Linked DNA regions of Astyanax mexicanus. The protein of the gene in region 1 interacts with the protein of each later gene in a pairwise test. Links are inferred from orthologs where the notes say so. Each region holds a gene or a part of one and is shown in the gene's direction. Other genes may lie near its edges.

What was found.
Region 2: the proteins of ube2na (region 1) and mid2 interact in a two-hybrid assay, tested with the Homo sapiens proteins (2 studies listed by BioGRID). The link is inferred for Astyanax mexicanus from reciprocal best matches to the Homo sapiens genes UBE2N and MID2.
Region 3: the proteins of ube2na (region 1) and znrf2a interact in a two-hybrid assay, tested with the Homo sapiens proteins (4 studies listed by BioGRID). The link is inferred for Astyanax mexicanus from reciprocal best matches to the Homo sapiens genes UBE2N and ZNRF2.

The regions. Positions count from the first base shown.
Region 1 is NC_064416.1:21,042,057-21,049,864, forward strand, and holds the start of ube2na (ubiquitin-conjugating enzyme E2Na), read left to right. Parts: upstream 1-4,807; 5' UTR 4,808-4,934; coding exon 4,935-4,964; intron 4,965-7,808. Other genes in the region: c1qtnf13 (complement C1q tumor necrosis factor-related protein 4), read right to left, coding at 2,476-2,503. UniProt on the Homo sapiens protein: The UBE2V1-UBE2N and UBE2V2-UBE2N heterodimers catalyze the synthesis of non-canonical 'Lys-63'-linked polyubiquitin chains. This type of polyubiquitination does not lead to protein degradation by the proteasome.
Region 2 is NC_064417.1:41,297,757-41,304,727, forward strand, and holds the start of mid2 (probable E3 ubiquitin-protein ligase MID2), read left to right. Parts: upstream 1-3,958; 5' UTR 3,959-4,245; intron 4,246-6,971. UniProt on the Homo sapiens protein: E3 ubiquitin ligase that plays a role in microtubule stabilization. Mediates the 'Lys-48'-linked polyubiquitination of LRRK2 to drive its localization to microtubules and its proteasomal degradation in neurons.
Region 3 is NC_064410.1:2,591,941-2,599,288, reverse strand, and holds the start of znrf2a (E3 ubiquitin-protein ligase znrf2-like), read left to right. Parts: upstream 1-4,335; 5' UTR 4,336-4,830; coding exon 4,831-5,161; intron 5,162-7,348. Other genes in the region: mturn (maturin), read left to right, coding at 1-106. UniProt on the Homo sapiens protein: E3 ubiquitin-protein ligase that plays a role in the establishment and maintenance of neuronal transmission and plasticity. Ubiquitinates the Na(+)/K(+) ATPase alpha-1 subunit/ATP1A1 and thereby influences its endocytosis and/or degradation.

The DNA.
Region 1 (7,808 bases):
ATAAAAATGCAACTGAGACAATATATTTCTTTGAATACAGGGCTGCAAATCATAACAAAAACAAAGATAAAAAAACAAATCTTTAATAGAAGTCAAGAGTTAATTTATCCTAGAGTTTGAAGACAATGTAGAGAAAAAAAAATCCATGTTCAAATCAAGTAAAAATGTTAAGAAAAACAAAATGTAAAAAATTTACTTTTTTACATTTATGAAAAAAAAAATCATTAATTCATTTATTATTAAGATAATTAATTAAGATAAGCTGTAGTGATTTATTAAATTGTGTACACAAAACATCTGAAGGTGGTGCAAATTTATAAAACAAATTATGAAATTCATATTTACAATTTGTGTATTTACTCCGTTCAGACTCTACATCATAAATGCAGTAGTATAATTATTAAAAATTGTTTTATTGGCTTTCCAATACACAGCAATGCATTCAAACTTTCTAAAATGTCTCTGTAGTCATATTGCATTGACTAAAAAACAATAACCAAGCATCCTAACATGTTAGTTTGTAGAATGTAAGAGCAGGAATGTCTACACAAAATTATTTATACCTGTAGAAATTTTTTAAGCAAGTGTGAAAAAAGTTTGCGCACCCAGATATTATATCATTATGTGTAAAAAGACAAATATAAGACATAGACACAAACATTCTATAATCAAACACAACACTGCAGTGGCTTGTTGTACTAATCAGTAACACATTCAACTCACTGTTTAAAATATGCCAAATATTTTAATTACACTCGCAAAAAAATTCTGCATCAACAAAATCTTTTACACACCTGCACAAAACTATTTCACGCATACACAGCTGCAAATGCACATGCACATAAAAGGTAATATACAACTGCAGATGCTCGATTATTTATCACCCTCATTTGACTCCATATAAACACTGCTCCAATGTAAACTAATGAGTTTACTTTTTATGCATATTTAAAGGTGGAAAAACAGGATCTCAAGGGCCTTAACCTCCATCTACTGGCGAAGCACTGAAGTGGTTGAAATGCCATTCGGACGGGTTAGGAAGTCTGGTTTAGCCTTGTCAGACTACATTCTGCCTTTCATATCAAGTGCTCAGTCAAAGCAGTAACGCCTCTAATTCAGCTGGTATTGTCTGTTCACTCTGTGCACAGGCAGAAGGCTATAGATTAGGCCCTGGTTCATCTGCTCCTGTGTCCTGGAACAATGGCATATTTGGGAGAGGATGATGTGGGCCATGAGATAGCATTTTTTCCCTCCCTTTGCTGATAAGTAAAGATCCTGTTTGAAAGTAATACATGAAGGTCAGAAGAAGATGTTCTGAGGGTCGGTTTATGGAAAAGGAGTGATGAATTGTAATGAATTGTATAGATTGTGGTTGGAGTGTAAGACCAGACTGACCTGAACAAATAAATCTAAGTGCAATAGTGACAAAGTCATTACGCAATGCTGATGATTTATTCATGAAATTAAAATGTGCATCAGATTATGATGCTAAATATAAAATAACTAAATGTAATTACATCAATGTACATCAGAGAGACTTATGTGATGTGCAATCTGGATATAATATCCAATAAATTAGTTCAATATAATCGTATAGATTATGTAGCTCACTGTTCTTTAGTTTCTGTATCAAACAACTTGAATTTCAGTTTTATAAACCCTGAAATAGAAACTGGTGTGACTCCACAAGGAGTTATGATACCATCAGAAAATTAAAATCACATATTTCATAGCTTTTGCATGAAGATTAACAAGTAATAAGTAATGTACAAGTAACAAGTAATTAACAAGTAATAAGCCAATGGTTTTATGGGTTAATGTGTTGATTTGTTGTAAATACATTTTGAGAAAATACACACATAAACAAATACCTTTCCAGACTCAAATGTACCTACAACCCTCTATCTGAATGTCTCAGAGAGCTCTTTGGATCTGGTAATGGTGATACTACTCACATCAACACACTAGTCAAGAACCAACAAATTAAATTCAATATGTTTATGGGGTTTAAATATGACAGGCTCCCCTCTAGTCTTGTTCTAACCATTATAGTCATTCTAGCTATTTAAAAAAAATGTGGGGTGTAATACCTTTTACAACATAAATAATTTGTATTTATATTAATTATGTTTCACGTTTTTGTCCTCTTTTGTTTGTTCAGTATTGTTAAATCAGTTCTTTATGAGAAACTGCTATTATAATGTTTGCATTAGGTCTTCTCAGTCAACATTTTCTATTCAGAAAGTTTTTCTCTGCATCAGTTGACCGTGTTCTCAGCAATAAACCCAAAAAGCAAAAGCATTGCATGAACTAACTGTGGCCTAGAACGTCTGATTACTCAACTGTTCGACACTTTTTCATCTAAGGTGACAAAATACAAGTTAACACGCTGATTTGAATCTGTTGTTCTACCTATTATTTCCTTTTTTTAGCAGCAGCAGCAGCAGCAGAAGTGGTGATTCCTGTTCTACATACCTGTTCTAGGCAGTTGCAGAGAGTTCATGTCTCTCACCAGCTGTGTTCCTCTCCTCCTGCGAGCCTTTCCAACACTCAGCAGCCACAGCACTGATAACCAACTATTTTAATCCTCCTGCGCAGGACCAGCTCATCCAAGATCCAGTGCCCCCTCCCTCCAAAAGATTTCTCTTTCATTCACTCACTCACACACACACACACACGCACACACACTCACACACACACACACACACACACACACACACACAGCACTACCTCAGTCTCTCACTTTTGAACCACAAATAAAAAAAAATAGAAAATTATAAGAGTTTAGAAGACTCTATGCTCATTTTTTGTTCTGAGGTCATGCAGATCTCAGGCCACCTTTAAAAAAACATGTTTAACTTTGTTACATCAGCTGAGTACTTCATGACGTTTCCTCATTTGACCCGGACTGTAACATGATTTGATTTTGATCTGGTGACACATTCCAAAAGTTCCTCAATATAGAATTATACACATCTGTGCCGAGTTAACATCTTTACGGGAAAAGGAATAACAACATTTAACTTTCAGAGGAAATCAATCTAAAAAGATTTTACTTTAACAGATTCTCATCATGTCTGTTACATGTCTGAAACAATTTAAACTGCTGTACACAATCATGTAATTTAAAATGTTAGTTATAACTATAAAATAAATTGGAAGAATGCTAATTGAGTTGCTGATTAGGTAATAAACAGCCACAGCAACATAGAACATTTAGAATTGATTGTGGAAGTGGATGTTATTCAGTTGTTAATTGCATCATTAGTAGCCATAGCAACATAGAAGAGTTAGAAATGAGAACTAATTTAGCAATATAGAAATTCCTGCAAATGGACAGACTTTGAGATGTATTGAGTGATTAGAGTATGGGGTAGGGAATGGGCTGGGCCATATGTGTAATCCTAATTGTTTTGTCCTCTTTGTGTATTATTTCACTTTAAAAAATGAGGAGGAAAAAGTTGCGGGCAAATCTCCCTGGGATTAATAAAGTATAGCAATATGAACAGCTAAATTAAAACTAGTTTACAGTGTGGTTTTCAGTAAAAAAATATTTTATTTTATAAAAATAAAAAAACTTTATATGGACTAAAGTAATGAGATATCTGCTTTTTCTTTTTTTTTTATGCCAAAATTCCAGCTCAAGAACAGCTGGTCATCCAGAAAAAAAGACATATTCTGTGTTAGTCAGGAGTTACTTTTTTCTTTTAACATTTGTTTATTAAGCAGGAGTATAAATGTATTCAACACAAATATGTAATATCTCACAAACAATAAACACACCCTCCCTGCCGATTATGTCACATTTCCATTTTTTTTGCTACTTTCCAAGTATTGTAGAAGGGGATGTCAAGAGCTATTTTTAAGCTAGTCTGCCAGCATAGGGTATGTTTTTATCTGAATGCCCAGCTGGTCTTGAGCTGAATGTTTTAGCAGGATTGTTGAAGAAACTGTTTCTACTGGGGGAGGGGGGGGGGGGGGGGGTTGGGGTGTGGTGTGGTGTGGGGGGCTTAGAGATGCTTGGGCATTGGTGGGGTGTGCTGGTTGGTGATGGGTGATGGGCAGCCTCCGCTCTTGATAGCGTTTCTTTTGGCCGCGGGGCTGCTCGCCTATGTGGCCTACGCTGAGAGTCTGAGGTTAGCCGAAGTTTAAGGGTTAACTTTACCTGGCAATCTATCTTTGTGAGGGTAAGGCAGGTAGGCGATTTCTGCTGCAGTGCTGTTAGCTAATCAGAAGCTATATGTTTGCATGTGTGAATATTCATGAGCAAGAGCCGAAATCCTGTCTTTGTTTAGAGACCAACTTAGTTCAGTTAAACAGAAACACTAGAGCGCTCCGTTTTTTTTTAGTTTTTTTTAGTTTTTTTTAAACGGCTCACATGGCTTTCACTCATAATAGACATTTTAAAATGAACTAAAAACGATGGAATAAGACATTTAATAAATAAAATTATCATTTAAAATTGCCTTTTTATATTTACTCAGTTTATCTATGTCTGATTTGTTTGATAATCAGAAACATATCAGAATGACAAAAAGGCAAAAACAAAAGGGGGGGGGGTCAGAATTCTTTTTTCATGCTACTGTATTTTTTTTACTTTTATTGGATGGGTCTTGTGCTCTCTCCATTATATATAAAGTGACTAAAGCCTTAAACAATAGTACAGACTGTAATTGACTGTTTGACGCTGAGACGTCGTTAAATGCGTGCTGGTCTCTGCAGGACTGAAACGTGTGCGTGTTTTCAGGCGGAATGAAGGAGTCAAATGGCGCTGGACTGAGCGGGTGGGTAAAACTACATGTTCCAGGGTGAGCCGGGTGTGCGGCGGCGGCGGAGTGCTGGAGAGTGACGCAGCGCTGGGGGGCGTGTTCACTGCGTCTCTGAGAGGAAGAGGCACCGAGAGACGAAGCTAAAAAACCCGCATTCAAGACAAGATGGCAGGATTGCCCCGCAGGATCATCAAGGTAACTGTGAGGCGGATTTTCTGCGAGTAGCTCGTTCCTGCTTCTTGAATCGGGAAGCCGGGCGAGTCCGACACGGCCGCGGGGCGCAGCGCAACGCGGTGCGGCTGAGAGCGAGCAGGCGGGCGGCTGGGCTGGCTGGCGTTGTTTGCGCCTGCTGCTAGTGTTTGTTAGCCAGACACTTCCGTTCACCTCTCCGCTTCACCCGAATATGGGTGGGTTAAAAATACACGCACGGCGGGCTGGGAGCAGCGAAAATGGCGGAGGCTCGTCTCGTGTGCATAAACGTTTAAAATATCAGCTAAACGCGACGGTAGCGAGCAGATTACCGGGGTTTGAGAGAGCGAATAAGCAAGGTAGCTTGCTAACTTAAAACTGACGGTCAGGCTAGCTAGCTAGCTAACTGGCTAAGTTAGCATTAGCTATCTAAGATAGGTTAGCTAACTGACTGCTGCCATTCATCGATTGAAGCCTAGCTAACGCTAGCTGTGTGGCTAACAGGGCAGTAATATACTTAGTTAGCTAATCATAATCTTAGTTTGATAACTTAGAGTTAATAATCTTAGCACAAGGGTGCTTTAATGTGCAATAAGGTCGCATATGAACACACAGTAAATGAGCCACGGCCTCTTAAATGAAAGTAATCGCTAGTAGTTAAACCCCGCTTCGTGTACCGCCCGCTCTGTAGACCTAGCTTAGCTTATCTTAGCATAGTCAGCTAGCTAGCCAGTTTTAGTAGCTATGCAGCTTTTTCCGCGCTAGGCCTTAGCTAGCTTAGCTAACCTAACGCTAGCTCGAAACTAAAAGTAGCCGAATGTCATTGTAGGTGCCTTGTAATGTAGCTAGCTAGCCAAGCTAACTAGCTAGCTAGTTATGTCTGAGCGAATATAAAAGCACAGCGCCTTCGTTATTTCAGTAGCTAACAGCAAGTTGAGAATCACCACAGCATTAGATTAATTAGCTAAGCTATAGGTAGCTAACTAAGTGAAATATTACATTAATATTCAGATCGAGCTCGTGGCTATTGACCGCTCTACGAGCCTCTGCAGACAAGCCTCTAATGGCTGGTTTATAAAAACCCGTCAGATGGGGTGCCTCGTTTCAGATTTGTCTCTTGGAGAGAAAGATCACCACCAGCTCAACACCGCTCCACATTTATTCTTAATGTTTTTAATGCTATAATATAATCAATAAGTCTGTATTGGTATAAAGGCGTGTCCTGATGCTAGTGTTGGCCTGGTCCTTACACCCATGAGCTGCTAGCTCAGTGTCAGCAGGCCTGATGTTCCTGTGCCGCACCTTCATTTCCACAAGCCTCCAAAACAGGTTTTCTCATAATCTGATCTATCTGATTTTTTTTAACATAACTTCAAAAATAACACAATGATATCACGCTTCAGAACAGATGCAACACATTTTATGCATGAAGGTTAACTGGATGATTAGACTGATAAGCTAGTTAAATAGCTAGTATCACTTTGTTAGCCTTATTACAGAGGCAGTTCAAATATTGCAATAGACCCTGATAACTACAGAAATGGCGCAGTTACACACAGTTACAAAATAAAAACCGTGATATTATAACATTTTTGCATAGGTAAAAGCTAAAAAAGAGTTGCAGATTGTCTAAAGGGCAAGTATGATTGTGTGATTTCGCTGTCAACAGTATAAGCAGATGCATCGTACAATCTGCAGTGTGACGTGTATGAACAATATGAAAATGAAATTAATTAAAATGTAATGGATTAAAGTACCAACAACAGTCAAGTGAATTGACTTAGTCTTAAATAGTGTCCTGACACATGAGTTTTATGTTTTAAGTCATGGCAAACAGGTCACAAAAAAAATCCTAAAGTGTCTGTTAATTAAAAATATCTACTTTGCTATCTGCATGTTCCTCTTATTTTATTGTATGCTCTTTGTTCAGTCCCCATGCTCTTGTAGCAGTAATTGGATATTGTGTATGCACTGAGCATCACCAGTATTGTGGTCTGTTGGTGTGGGTGTGGGAGGGCTGGGAACATGAAGACCTTAAGCGTGAGACTGGGATTGGGAGCCCCTCTCTTGTCTGTGTTTTCTCTGCATGGTTTTGTCCATGGACTATCTGAAATATTTCAGGAATTTTCCTCTCTTGAGGGTATTTTGAATAAAGGAACAGGAACCTGCCAACCACCAAATTCATTTATTCATCAGTGTTGTGGGGATGAGCAGTGCGGCTGTATGATAGTGATATCTGTCTCTTTTTTTGCGTTATCTTTAGTAATTAATGCAGATGAGGTTATGTTGAATTTGTGTGATGACACCGATTTATCAAGGGCATTTACACTGTACCCTTAAAATATTTTGCATCACATTTTGACCTGTAATCATGCAGGTTAAAACTCTACTAGTGTGCATAGATTGATGAACGTAATGCAGAAATTATTGTCGTCTGACTATGATGCATGCAAATGAGCTACAGGAGCTGGATGCCATTTTTTTCAAGTTTAATAGGCCAGACTAAAAGTTGTGATTTTATTATTTTGTTTATTTAATACTTATGTAGCATAAAATAAGCTTTCCCATTTTTTTAAATATTTTTGATTGTCGTCTTACATAAAACATGACCTATGCAAGTGTGTTTTCAGTGTTTGTAGACCTTGATGCTCAGGCTGCAAATAATTTCCAATACCTGCAGATATATGGTAACAGAAAAAATGTTCGAAAATTCTATCTTAATACAACAGGGAAATAAGCATGACAACTATTTAATGTAAAGTAGTCTTATGCGCTACCAAATATGTATTGGCCAGTAAATGACTACATGTTTTCTTCATAAGTTTCATACGGCATGTTTTTTTTTATAAA
Region 2 (6,971 bases), on another chromosome or scaffold:
TTGGATATTGGGCAACGTGCTCATGGCAAGGCGACGTGGCTTATCAAAGTTGGGTGTGTTGTGCCAGCATTTAACATTTCTCAATCCACTACTTTATTGACAAAAAAAAGATTAGTTTAATTTATTTAAAGCAGGATTTTTGCATTGACCTTTTTAAAAGGATTCAACATGAACTATTTTAAAAGTAAGTTGAACCATCAGCATTAAACAACCTCTTACATTAGTGTCTCCATCAGCTCTCTACACACATCACTCATACACCACTAATACAACCGTTTTAACAATAACCTTAAATCTAACACCTGTACCCGAATGTTCCTGTACTCGCTCACACACACATACACAGACACACACACACACACACACACACACACACACACTTAGGGCAGATACCTACCTCTCTCTCTCTGTCTCTTTTCTCTCTACTCTCTCTATCTATTACCACATAACATCAAACAAGAAAAAAAAATATATATATATCTTCCTTTTCTATTTCTCCATTCTTTTTCTGTAAATATTCAGATCTATTTGTTGTTGTTTCCTAATATTTGTATCTTGTTTGCTATAATCCGTTTTTTTTTCTTTTCCCTCCCCCTTTCCTTTTTCTCTTGTAGTTTACAAATTGTTCAGTTATTATTATTATTATTATTATTATTATTATTATTAATTCTCTTTTTTCTATGTATTATTATTTTTTCCCCCTTTTCTCTACTATCCCCCACATGAACCTAAATATTTTTGATTTCCAAACTTAAACTTTAGCAATTTAGTTAGGATGTACTGTACTTCTGGCTTAGTATAGACTCTAAATTACAATTTCAAACAAATTTAATTTCAAGTAAAATTTATTCTGTATGTTAACACCACTCTAATTCACAAAAAAAGAGATTTTGTATGATTTTATTTAATGTGGTGAGTTAATTAGTCTCTAAGACTATTAACAACTGAAACCTCTTGTCAATGACACCCACCGTCAATTTGTAGTCATTTCCCCATTGGCTACCACCTCTAAATAATTACAATTAAAAAATGTGCTGATATTGATTAAAGGTAGTTGATTTCATTAGTGCATTAGTGGGCACTTTGGTTTTTAGTCAACATAAAGTGTATTTATATGAGTTAAGAAAATAAAAACAGTTGTATATACGTATTTCAATTAAGTAAGGATAAAAGGCTCATCTTCTACTGATTTAGGTAAAAGCATCTGGCTTGTTGAGTCAACATATCTTTTTTCCCACAGGTCAGTGCAGGGTTCTTAAGCTTCCATGTGACATGGCAAAAGTCCTGGGACTAGTTCATAGTTCCTAGTACATTTTTTACAGCAATTCTATAAGTTATTCAGTGGTAAGTACTTAGACACTACTTTTTGACTTTTATTAAGTAGTTAAAAAGGGGAAAAAAAATATGTGTTTTTGTATGATTTATAGTACTTTGCCAAACTCTTGCAATCAATCCTAATAGTATATCACAATCTCATAATATTATACTGTAAAAAAGACAGGTTCAATTTGTATTATCATATTGTAAATGATTAGCTTATCATCACTTCATGAAGTAATAATTACTCTATCAATGATTTTCTCAGGCAAGTAATAGAGTATCATTTTTAGAGTGATTAAGATTGAGGCCCACATGCATCAAAGCATCTCTATAGTATATTCAGAGCCTATTACTCAAGTCCTTGAAGGTCCCCAGAGACAGGAGGAATGAGAATTTATCTCATGCAGATGCCTCTCAAGGGATTCCAGCCTTTTAGCTCTTTAAGCCCCTCTTGCCCTTTCATTTGACTTGGACTTTATTTTTACATCTCATCTGTTTACTTTACACTGCAGATGCATGCGTGTGTGTAATCAGCCGATGTGGGAATTATCAGCGATATTGAACGTGAATGCTAATGTGATCAGTGGCGTGCAGGGTTTTATAGAGTGCCGGAAGCTGTAGTATAGATTAAGCACAATATTAGACTCAGTGAAGAAGAGTGCTCCATCACTGAGGGTATTATCTTTAATGCACAGTACAGAGCGTGAAGTTACTCGGGCTGGAATCTTCCGCCCACAGTAATTGCCATTCCAAATTTTGCATGCAGTCAGAATTTACTCCCTCAGCTGCACTAGAGTTTCACAAACAGCCAGCACAGTGTCAGCCAGTGATTCTGATCCTGGTGCATTTTACACTCTGGAACTAATTCGCTTTCAAAGGGCTTTCATGCCCACGTTATGCATTCCAAGGAGACAAATGGTTGCACAAGTTATTTATGTGGAGATTTCTGAAGTTAAAGTTGTGTTAAATACCTACTTGTGCAACATTTGTTCTCTCTGAGTGCTTATATTATGGAGAAACAGGGAGTTCTCTCTCTCTCTCTCCATGAAAAAGTTCCAAGGAGAGATTTTCCACTTTAAAATCTGCTTGTAGTGGACGGGGTCCAATGTGGTCTAGTGCAGGAATGTGGTGCTCATTCCTGATCCATGTGACTTCAGCCTGTGCTGAGTGTTTTACAGCAAAACCAATCAGTCATTAGTTTTCTTGCTGTTTACACTGTAGTGGGCCAATACAATCCTATATAATTTTGAATATAGATACTATTTTATTGTACACAATTGTTTATAGGCAATAGTTTGTACAATACAAGTCAATTATATTAGATTTTCTGTATTGTGTTTTTTTTTACATTGTAATAATGTAATATATGTATGTACTTAAATGTACTTTAATAGGGAATCACTAGTTTAGTTTAAACCCTTCAATTGTTTTCCTTTCTAAACACCATGGATCTGTATGCTGGACAAGGACTTAACCTATAGACCATATTTTCCTTTCAGTAGAAAATCTCTATTAAAAATGCTGTTGACCTGCATGACCAAGTGGGTTGACCAGCAAGACCAATGTGGTTGACCAACATGACCACCATAACCAAGCTGGGTGACCAACATGACCACCAAGACAAAGGTGGTTGACCAACATGACCAGCAACACCAAACTGGTCGACCATAATTACCAACATGCAAAAGCTGGGTGATCAACATAACCAGCATTTTAAAAAGATGGTCGACCAGCACGACCAACATGAAAATGTTGGTTGATCAACATGACCACCAAGACCAATGTGGTTGACCAGCATAACCAGCATGACCAAGCTAGTTGACCAACATGACCGCCAAGACCAAGCTGCTTGATAAACACGACCACCAATACCAAACTGGTTAACCAACATAACCAAGCTGGTTGACCATCTTGACCATCTCAACCAATCTAGTTGACCAACATGACCAACTAAAAAAAGCTGGTCGATCAGTAACACCAAGTATCACCATGCTAACAGACCAAGATGACTGATGACCTAACTAGTAGACCAGCATTGCCAACAAAACCAAGATAGTATACCAACAAGACCAGCATTACCAAGCTTTTTAAACCAAATTACCAAGCTGATCAACCAACATGACCAGTAGACCTCCCAGAATCAAATGAAACATGAACTATGATGGTCAGGAGCTGGTTAACCCACTAAAACCTAACAGCATAAGATATGTTTTGCCTGGAAAAACGCTTTCAGTCACCTTCACCATCAAAAACAGGTTTAGAGCTTGCAAAACCTGCTACCAGTGGAGAGCAGTCATCCTAAACTGGCTGCTTGCTAATGGTCTGTGTAACAAGAATGCCAGTGGTTTGACTCCTGGGTCTCTAGTGGCATAGGCCACTGAACACACACACACACACACACACACACACACACACACACAGATAAACACAGCCCAGTGCTGCCTTCACATCCCAGTAAAGAATCAGCATCAGCATGTAGCCACAATACCACACTCTTGCTGGTCATGCTCCAGTGTTTGAGTGGGAGTCGGTGCAAATGTGTGTGTGTGCGTGCGCGCGCGCGCGTGAGTTTCGCGCATGTGTATGCGTGTGTGTGTATACAGAAGAGAGCTGGGTGAAAGCTCTTCCCGTGGGATGGTCACGTGTCCTCGGGGAGTGTGTGTTACTCTAGGAGCCTGTCGGAGGGGGAATATGGTCCACAGCCGAGCACGCGCGCACGGGGGCCAGTGAGAGCGCGAGAGAGAAAGCAGAGCGACCAGCTCTCCAGCAGGCGCCTTTTTTATTTTCACGACAGCAGCTGGGAGAAGCGCGCGAGGGGAGCTCCACGCTGCGCTCGCTCAACTTTCGGTGAAACGGCAGCGCGAGCCTCTACGCGCGTCTACGCTGGAGCGAGCGGAGGATCGTCCGTCCGTGCGCGCGTGTGAGGTAGGCGAGCTTTGGTTACGTTACGTACGCATGCATGGAAACGCGCGCGCGCGCGCCCCTGTTGTGTTGTAGCGTTTTGTTCATTGCTGGTGTTGTTTGTTGTTGTGGGTGAGTGAGCGTGCACTACGCTACGCTACTAACCCAGCTGTTGCACCTCGTGCCTACTGTAGCCTACGTATGTGTGAGTGCGTCAATGTGTGTGTGTGTGTGCAGTAGTAGCAGTAGTAGACACTACGCGTTTGATGCCATCTTTTATTATTAATGCCATTAATGATGCATAAGCTGTCTCTCTGCTCCAAGAATTTAAAGGTTGTAGTCCTGGTGCTAATCTTCTGTTTAGTACTGATCCAGCATCAGTCCACAGTTGTGGGCTTTAGGGTCTGTCTACACTGGTCTCTGAAGTCCTGCTGAACACAGATGACCTCTTAAAATGAATTAATTCAAGCCTCCAGATGTTTAGATGTTTCTTCAACTCTGCATGAGCCTGCATTTTCATATTCATGCTCCTCCTCAAGTAAATTCCGATTTAATGCCAAATTATATGTAAATGAATATGAAAGATAGAGCATTAATAATCAGGTTACTTCAGGTGACTCTGATTCAGTTCACCTGCTGGAGACTGGAACCTCTTGCAACTCCAGTACCAGTTAAAAGTTTTCCTACTTTGTAAATTAATACTCAAGTTATCCAACTTAGAAGGAATACAAAAGGAATCATGTAGTAAATGTAAAAGTATAGCTTTTATCTGGAGGGCTGTTAACTTGTGGTTTCTGATAAACTTATCCTGTTCAACAGAGGTAACTCCTGGTCTTCCTTTCCTGGGGCAGTCCTAATGAGAGCCAGTTTCATCATAACATTTGATTGTCTTTTCAATTACACAATTTTTATTGTCTTTAGTTATTAGTAGTTATTGATATTATATGGATTATAACATTACTCATACGGGGCTATTCACTGTATACCGACTCTACCACTTGACTACACAACTGATGCTCTCAAACACATTAAGTGAGCATTTGCATTAGTGCTGAATTGGCAATGAATGCTGGGTGTTTGCATTTGTTCTCATCAGCAAGTCACCAGATGATGAATTCTCTGTATTTAAAGAAGTAAAACTCGTCCAGGAACTTTAATGGTTCTTGGTAAACATATTCCTTAGATTTGAAATGCAACTTGAGAAGAAAATATGATGTCATGCAAAAACAAGAACACATAATAAGAAATGGCCAGACACACTCCACAAATCCCTACAGACTTTTATTTCCTTGTAAACACACTGGAGCATTAAAAAGCATTGGTTTGAGACTTTATCTTGCCTCAGCATATGTGTCACTGCTGAAAAGTAATCACATTGCAAAAACAAAATTTAAAAAAACTAATTTCTATGCAAATCATATTTTTTTCTTAGTCACAGCTTTTAATACATGTAATAACTGTTTAGTAACACTAACAATGCGTGTAAGAAACAGTGTATCTATGGGGGAAGTACAGTACAGATACAAATCAATTACATTACACACATCAACACTTGACTTGTATTTAATAGTGTAATTTGTTTACATTATATAGTGTGTTTATGAATTTGTACATGTAATATAGTATGTGTGAATTGTTACATGTAATATAGTTTGTGTGTGTGTTTTTTACATGTAGTATAGTGTGTGTGTGTGTTTTTACATGTAGTATAGTGTGTCTGTGTGTGTGTGTGTGGGTGTGTGTGTGATTTTTTACATGTAACATAGTGTGTGTGTGTGTGTGTGCTTTTTTACATGTAACATAGTGTGTGTAATTAGTTGTGTAAAATGTCTGTTTCTTTAACAGCTCTTGTCTGGTATAGAATTAGGGTCCTCATTGTTTTTATTACTAAAAATCATAATTCAGATTTAATCATGGTAAGATGGACAGAATGTTCTGCTATGTTTAACTGACACTGATGCACACATGTAATTACATACCATGAATGACTGTAATCAATATTTAACTGTGCAACCACACACATATATCCACACATGTGTCATCGCAGTATTCCCTGACTTACAGGGGACATGGAAAATGTATTAAGACAATATACTGTGTTTTTTTTTTTGTCCTGTGACATTCAGTCACAATGCAAAAATTCGAGATTCAACTGATTGAAAGTTTCAAAACCTATGGTTTTCTTCCCTGTTAAACTTAAAAGGTTATTAAAATGAGATTAGCTCAAATTAGTTTAAAAGCAACGATATATTAAATATATGTATCCATATATTAGATTCCATTTGGCACATACACATCCTACATTTGCTTTACTTTGCTAAGATTTGATTACTTTTTTTTTATTACGTGCTTAACCTATAATAAATTAACATTATACAAACCCTAATATAAACAAATTAATATTATGTTTAGTGGTTTGTTGATTGGTGCTAAATATATATGAAATGTTTTTTTTCTGCCTCTAAAAGCCACACAGTAAATTTGCCAGTGTTAAAAACACTTTTAGAGTTAAATTAACACTGCAAGTTTTTTATTTTATTTTTTTACACTAAAAGTGTTGACACTGGCAAATTCATTGTGCACAATACTGGAAATTATTACACAGGATTACGCTTGAAATAAATAATAATAATAAAAAATATGGGTGATATAGTTATAAAGGAGTTATAAAGAAGACATTTTGCAGACATTCTGCAAATGTGGGGAAATTCATTTTCGACAAGCAAGGCTTAATTGTTTCCCAAACTTTT
Region 3 (7,348 bases), on another chromosome or scaffold:
TCTGGGTCTTCCGGACATCGACGACGACACATATGAGCAGTACCACGCAGACGTGGAGGAGGAAGCAGAGACGGACCACCAGCAGATGGGTGTTAGCCAGCAATAATGCCCAGGCAGGCAGCTCGGCTGTGGGCCCGCGATAACGCCCGGTGTTGGGGGGTCGTTGTTTAATGGGCCAGAGATTCTCTTTCCTCTGTTTCTTCTTCCCTCCCTTTTTTCTTATTCCTCCATGCCATGTTCACTACTCTACTCTTTTATGAAACTATTTTATGAAACACTATATCCTTCTCTCTCTTGTTCTCTCTCTCTCTCTATCTTTCTCTCTTTTTCTCTCTCTTTCTCTCGCCCTCACACACCTTCACACAAAAGCAGGAGCCTGCTAAACTGCACCATTATGCCCTTTAATATATAGATGGCTATGTTTTCCACTTTTTACGTTTTTCTGCCTTGTTTTAAACAGCAAGGCATTTAATCCATATTATTGCATTATTATGCACACTTATATTACGCTTTCCACTCAAGCCCTTTTAAATATCAGAACATGGAAACTATTCTTTCATTATTTTAAGTTACGTTCCCCTCATTTTTTTATTTTTGTTTTACGTATGGCTATTATAGCCCGTGAGACATTTCTGCTGTTCATCTTAGATGGTAAAGGCTCATTAACATGGATTGCTTTGAATTGAGGCTCTTATCATAACAACCGATTGATATTGATGAATAGATATTGTCGTATTGAATGTATGGGCTTATGTATGAAAGTCCTGATGGATTGCTCGTAACTAGGTGTAATGTCTGAGACCAGTCAGTTGCAGTTGCGGTGGTTTCAAAGGTCAGAACCGTGGACCTGGTGTGAATGGGAAAAGTTGATGCTAGAGATCTTAGTCTTAGTCTTAGCCTGAGACACTCAACACACAATGCACCCACAGCAGAGACGATGGTGTGATTGGATTTTGGATAGAAGTGGATAGAAGTGCTTGCTGTAATTGTGGTTCCTCCTCTTTTCACTAGCCTTTAACTGTATTGAAATTTACAGAGGTGCCAGTTTATTAGGTCCTATGGTTGTTGGTCCCAGTGTATTAGTGGTTCATGGATGGAGTTGAGGGGAGTCAATGAACTGTATAACACCAAATGGGTGACCAACACTGCTCCTGTAGAGCTACCATCCTTTAGGTTCTACCTCCATCCCAAATCTAACACACCCGATTCAACTGATCCAGCTCTTTTGGAGGCAGTGATTACACGGATCAGGTGGGATTGATTGGTGGCTGGAGCTTACATCCTCTGGAGAATAGCCCAGATTGTCCAGGAGCTAGGTTGGTGAAGTGTTGGGCGGTCAGGGCACAGTGAGGGTTAAGGTAAAAGCTTATGCTTGCTCAACCTGAGTATTAAATCCACCACAGTCATTAAAAAAGCTGGTGTTCTAAATGTTAAGCCTCCATTGTCCCAAAGATCATATGATGGGGAACCCAGATTTCAATTTGAAACATCTTGGAGCGTTTCTGCCAACGTTTCTCCCTCTGTTTGGTTTGGTTTCACACAGGCACAAACCTAAACGCACTAGAATGCTCACTCACAATAAACCACGTGAGCACATTGTCTGAAAGTAAATATAATGAGAAGATTCTGTGTTCCAGTGTGTATATCTGTGCGAGGTGAAGCTGCTTTAACACAGCACGCTGAAAAAAAAAAACTTTTAAACTTTTAAAGTGTTTTCAATGGGACGTGTAGCTCAGATGTGAGCAGTGAACGCTGCACATACCGTGCTCTTAGTGTGTAAACAGCATGGAGCAGCAGCAGAGACAGTGTTTTTTGTTCATAGCTGTGGTAATTATCATTATCTAATAGCTAATATATCAGATTGAACTGCATCTTATCAGCAGAGTAGCTCAAATATAGAAGGAATATATTTGATAACTTGGTCGGATCGAGACTGGACCTTGATTTTTTACCACAAGTGGACCGTTCATGAGTTTGTTTGGAACCAGACCGAGACCCCCTCCATTAGCTTCACTGATCTCAGAATCCACTTTAACCAGAACTAATTGTGCTGGTGTGAAGACACTCTTAATCTGCATTGTTATTAGGATTGTTAGAAATGTAAAGGATTGTGATCCAGAGCTAAAACAGTACTAAGACATTTTTAAAAGAACCATTTAAAATAAAGATCGGTGCACCTAATAAACTGGCAACTTGGTCTCTGCATTACATAAAGTTTTTGACATTTGCCCTGGTTTCTATAGCAGCTTCTCTTCCATTCTTTTCCATGCTGCTCTGCTCATCACGTGTTAGCCAGGGGATATGCTTGAACGTGTACTCTATGAATGGCACTTGTTTCTTTTCCTCAGCTGGTTCCTCAGTGCATGCAGTACAATAAGCATGCTTAAGTAGTCCAGAACCCTCCAGTGATCCAGCGAAGCTGTATTTTGCAAAGTTAAGGGGGTTCTGTATGGGGACAATTTCCTCTCCTTATCCTACAGCAAATGAGAACAGAGCTGACTGAGGAGAATCTGATCCTAGACCAGTTAGCACTTCATGATGTCAGGCTCCGAGCCTGGTCTGACTCGGCACTTGCAAAGGCCTGTATTTTTGGTGTGAAGAAGGTGAGCGAGGATTGGTCCGGTACGTCCCGTTCTGTTGGTGGACACCTTGCTTACACTGCGCTTGCTGCAGGAACGGAAGTTGACAGGATTCTGCTGACCTCATATGTTCAGTGCCCGCCTAATGCTGCCCCTACTACCACCACACACACACACATATATACACACACACACACACATATATACACACACACAAATACACTCTCACTGCTTCCATATCGTCTTCCTCCCTAAGCTAAGTGTGCTGCCAGCATAGAGATAAATTGGTCCACATGTACTGAAGTCTGTCGTGAGGTTAGTCAGAGCTGCTGTTCTATATTCATATTTATTTGATTGTCCAGCTTTAGAATTTGTTCTGGATTGCTGTAAGCTTTATGCATTGATTTTTTTTCCCCCCGTTTGATTTCAACACCTCCTTTTATTACGTCACTTTTAAATGAGTTGTGGTTTTGCCTAAAGATGTAAGATTTTATAGTTTGGAACTATTGTTTCCCTCATGCTTTGTTACGCGTTTTGTTTTTGTCCTCTGGTTTGTGTAAAAGTCCTAAATTAAATTAAACCATGTGGAGGTGATGATCTTCCTGTGTGTCCTTGTCGCTCATTGAGTTTTCTGACTTTCTGCTTTGTAAATAAAATGCTATGAAAAATGGTAAAACATTTACTTAATGGCAATGTTCATAAGGCTACGTATGACCTCTACATAATACTTCAATGACCACAGATGTAGATTTTAAAAGGCTTCATAGTTTCAACGTTCTACTCAGTTCTACACTAGCTTCAATACATAATTCTACACTAACTTTTGAACTAAATTCAACACTCTATAACACTATAGTTTCAGTAAGTACTTCTACACTGATGTCAACACTAATTTCTTCACTATAGGGAGTGCCTATGATGAAAATGTGAAGATGATCGCTATTGTGCTTATATACAGTCATTGATTCCATTTCAGTTTCTATATGGTGGTGCTTTAAAGTTTGTGCACCCTTTATAATTGTTTTATATTTCTGTACAAATATGACCGAAAACATCATCAGATTTTCCTTAATGTCCTAAAAGTAGACAATAGAACCCATTTAAAAAGTTAAACATACTATACTTGATCATTTATTTATTGAGTAAAATCATCCAATATTACATATTTGGGAGTGGAAAAAGTATGTGAACCTTTGCTTTTAGTATCTGGTGTGATTTCCCTCCTTTTCAGCAATAACAATTTAGAGACTCACAAGTGCACAAAGGTTTCATCAACACGTCCATAAAATAAGCATGAATCATTAAGGTTTATAAATTTAATATTAAGCCTGATGCATAAGAGAACTGCTCAACTAAGATCACAGCTTTTGACACCTGGTTATCATCCCTTAAAAATAAGGACGTGTCATCTGCCAAAATTTTTAGCTATATAGTTTATTTATATTTTTCCAGACAATGTTATTATTTCACATTTTGACCTATTTAAACTTAAGCCTGATGCATTATAAGACTGCTCAACTAACATTACAGCTTTTGACACCTGGCTCATCAATCATCCCCTTTAAAAATTAAGTAGCGTAGTCTGTCAGATGCAAAATTTTAGTTTGCCAAATATTTTTTTAGCTATAAATGTATTTTTTTATAATTACAGTTCACAAAACATATAATAATCTTTTAGCTATATAAGTTAAATCTGGCTGCTCAAACCAGTGCACTGACGTCACCCGGAGCTGATAAAGGAGGAGGGGCTTAAGCGCGCCGTTCACGCGCTGTCTAATCTGCGGCTCGCGCTCGCTCGTGGCTCGCTCTGGCTGCTGCTGTTGCTGCACGAGCCGGTTCGGTTGGCTGTTATTAGCGGAGGCCAACGGTCGCTGTGATTCTCCAGAGCGCCGCGGGTCATGTAGCCTGGTTTAGCGGCGGCGGGAGCGGCTGTTTTCGGGGGTTTTGTGTCGTTGTTTGGGGCTGACAGCGCGCAGGAAGAGTGGAGAGGCCTGCAGGAAGAAAGTTTAACGACTGAGGAGCGGCAACAAGTGCGCGGAGAGAGCGGAGAGCCGCGGAACTCACTTATCTCACTCACTAAACACGGAACTCAGTAACTAGCGCTAACGGGCTTCGGCTAAAAACACTCCGGCCAGCCATGACAGTCCAGCCGCCGCTGAACTGAAGAAAGCGGCGCAAAAACGAAACAAAACAAAACTTGGAGATAACACACACACTCATACACACACACTTACACAGATAAAACTCCGCCATGGGACCCAAACAGAGCAGCCCGGCCGCCAACGGCCGCCTCCGGGCTTACTCCGGCTCCGACCTGCCCTCCTCCACCGCGGCCAGCTCCGGCAGGGCGGCCGTGCTGAGGTACTATGCGGGCGGCGCGGGGAGCCAGCCGGCAGCGCAGCGGGGAGGGCGGTACGGCGCGGACGGCAGACCCGGCTCGCTGATCCAGTCCGCGGTTATAGCGAGCAGCGGCGGCGGGACTCCGAGACACGGAGAAGACCCGGATAGAGATCAGGACCAGTCCGGTCCAAGACTTCTTATAGGCTCCTTACCTGCACACCTCTCCCCTCACCTGCTTGGAGGTGAGTTAAGTAGCTAGGCTAAATAACTAGATTTTTCTAGATGGTAAAATTGTAGGTTTAATTTCACAAATAATAAGGGACATCCACTAAGTCATAATTATAAGATATTGGGTCTGTGGGGTATTATCTCATAATTATTACGTACTATCTTATGATTAAACTTACTGTAGTATCTCATTTACTTATAATTTAGTCATAGTATCTCGTAATTATGGCTTAACATCTCATAATTATGATGTATTATCTCAATTATGACATGCGTTTTGAAAATTATGACTTAGTATGTAAAATTTTACTTTTGTATCTCAATGTTGTTAGTGTCTCATAATTATGACTGAGTACCTCAAAATTATGACTTAGCATCTCATAAGTATGACTTAGTATATTGTAATTATGACTTAGCATCTTAAAATTATGACTTTGTATCTTAAAATTATGACTTTGTGTCTTGTAACTATGACTTTGTATCTCATAATTATGACATGGTTGAGGACCCTTTTTTAAGTGTCAGAATGGGCTTCCATACAATATAGCTAATTATTTGTTTTTTAACAATTTTATATTATTCTATTTTTTCACTTACTGCAGTTCACACTTTTTTCATTCTTGTATTGTTTTTATAGTTTTATTTGGATCCACATTAGCATAACAAATATCGAGCACAAGTCATAAATACTCTGCACACATGTTTAATGATGGCTACTGTATTTCTGATGTGAAAAAAAAGTATACAATTACATGCAATCACAAAACATTTGTCATCATCCTTTTACACCAATTACATGTTTTGGTAATATTTAATATAAATGTGGTTCTTGGGCTTGAATGGGTTAGTTTATAGAGCTAATAGAGTCTTTATTGTTATATTATTGCCTGTGTTTGATGAAAAGGTTTGATTTACATTGGAACAAAAGCATGGCTTGTTATTAGTCGGGCAGCTATGGCAACACTAATAAGAGCACTGAGATATTAGCACAGAACACAGAATATAGACAAAGCATGATGATCCTAATAAGGTTAGCTAGCTCGCACTGCAGGAACACACGGATTATTGTGATTATAATGATTATAAAGATAAAGTGTTAGATAAAGAGTCTGTTCTGCTCAAAGGTCATAGAAGCACATGTCAGAGTTGATTACAGATACAATCTGCAGATTTGAGGCTCTAAATCAATAAAAGATTAGCCGAGGAAATGCATAAAGCAGAAGATACCAGAATGTTGCATTTGTTTTTGCAGTTTCAATCTAAACACTCTGAAATAAAAGGATGTTAAACCTCTGGGTTATTGTTGTTTGGGCTGCAGTGTTAAGTTCCTCTTTCTTTTTTTAACATGACTCTAAATTAATCCTTAATCAGGACCGTTTTTTCTTACTATAATAGCTTTTGCTGGTTACCTGAGCAACCATGGTGCTGCTAATGGTGCTAACACAAGAGCTATCGTGAACATGGAGATGTCAGAACTGCAAACTCAGTCTTGTCTTTAGTGTCTGTTCATTCACTCATCGTAATCCAAATAAAATCAGAATTGGAACTGAAGAGAGCATCAGAGATAAACAAGTTCGCTAAAATAACTAAATCCAGGTTATTTCACGGTGAATAAAGACTGCATCACAATGCACGTTTTAAAAGTACTTTTTAGCATGGTTTGTGTAATTACACATTCTAATACAAAAATTACAGACTAGCACTTTAATACAATTTATCAACCTGAATGATTTAGAAGCCTTTTAAAATAAAGAATGAGCGACGTCCTCCTAAAAGGAACTGAGAAATTCTTAGAGCAGAAACATACCGTGACAGTCAGTACTAGGAGTGTGCAATACTGTATCATATGCAATAATATCACCAAAAATTATGACATGATAAAAAAAGTTCTGTATCGTGATATTGCGAAAATTCTTGAAAGCAGTCCATTTTAATTAAGTTTTTATTCACTTAATATGCAATTCATATCCACTAGATTTTTTTTGCTGCATTACTTTGTATTTTTATGCAAAAAAATTACAGATTTTTTATTTATTTGTGTTCTACTGAATGTATAAATGTATGAATGTATAAAACTCATATTTATTGCGTTCAGATTTTGCAGTAGTTTATTTTTAAATGAAAAGAATATCACTATCCCCCCATCACTTCTAGGGTGATGTGGATCAGCACAATGCTGCGTCTGTGAGCTGATGTATCAG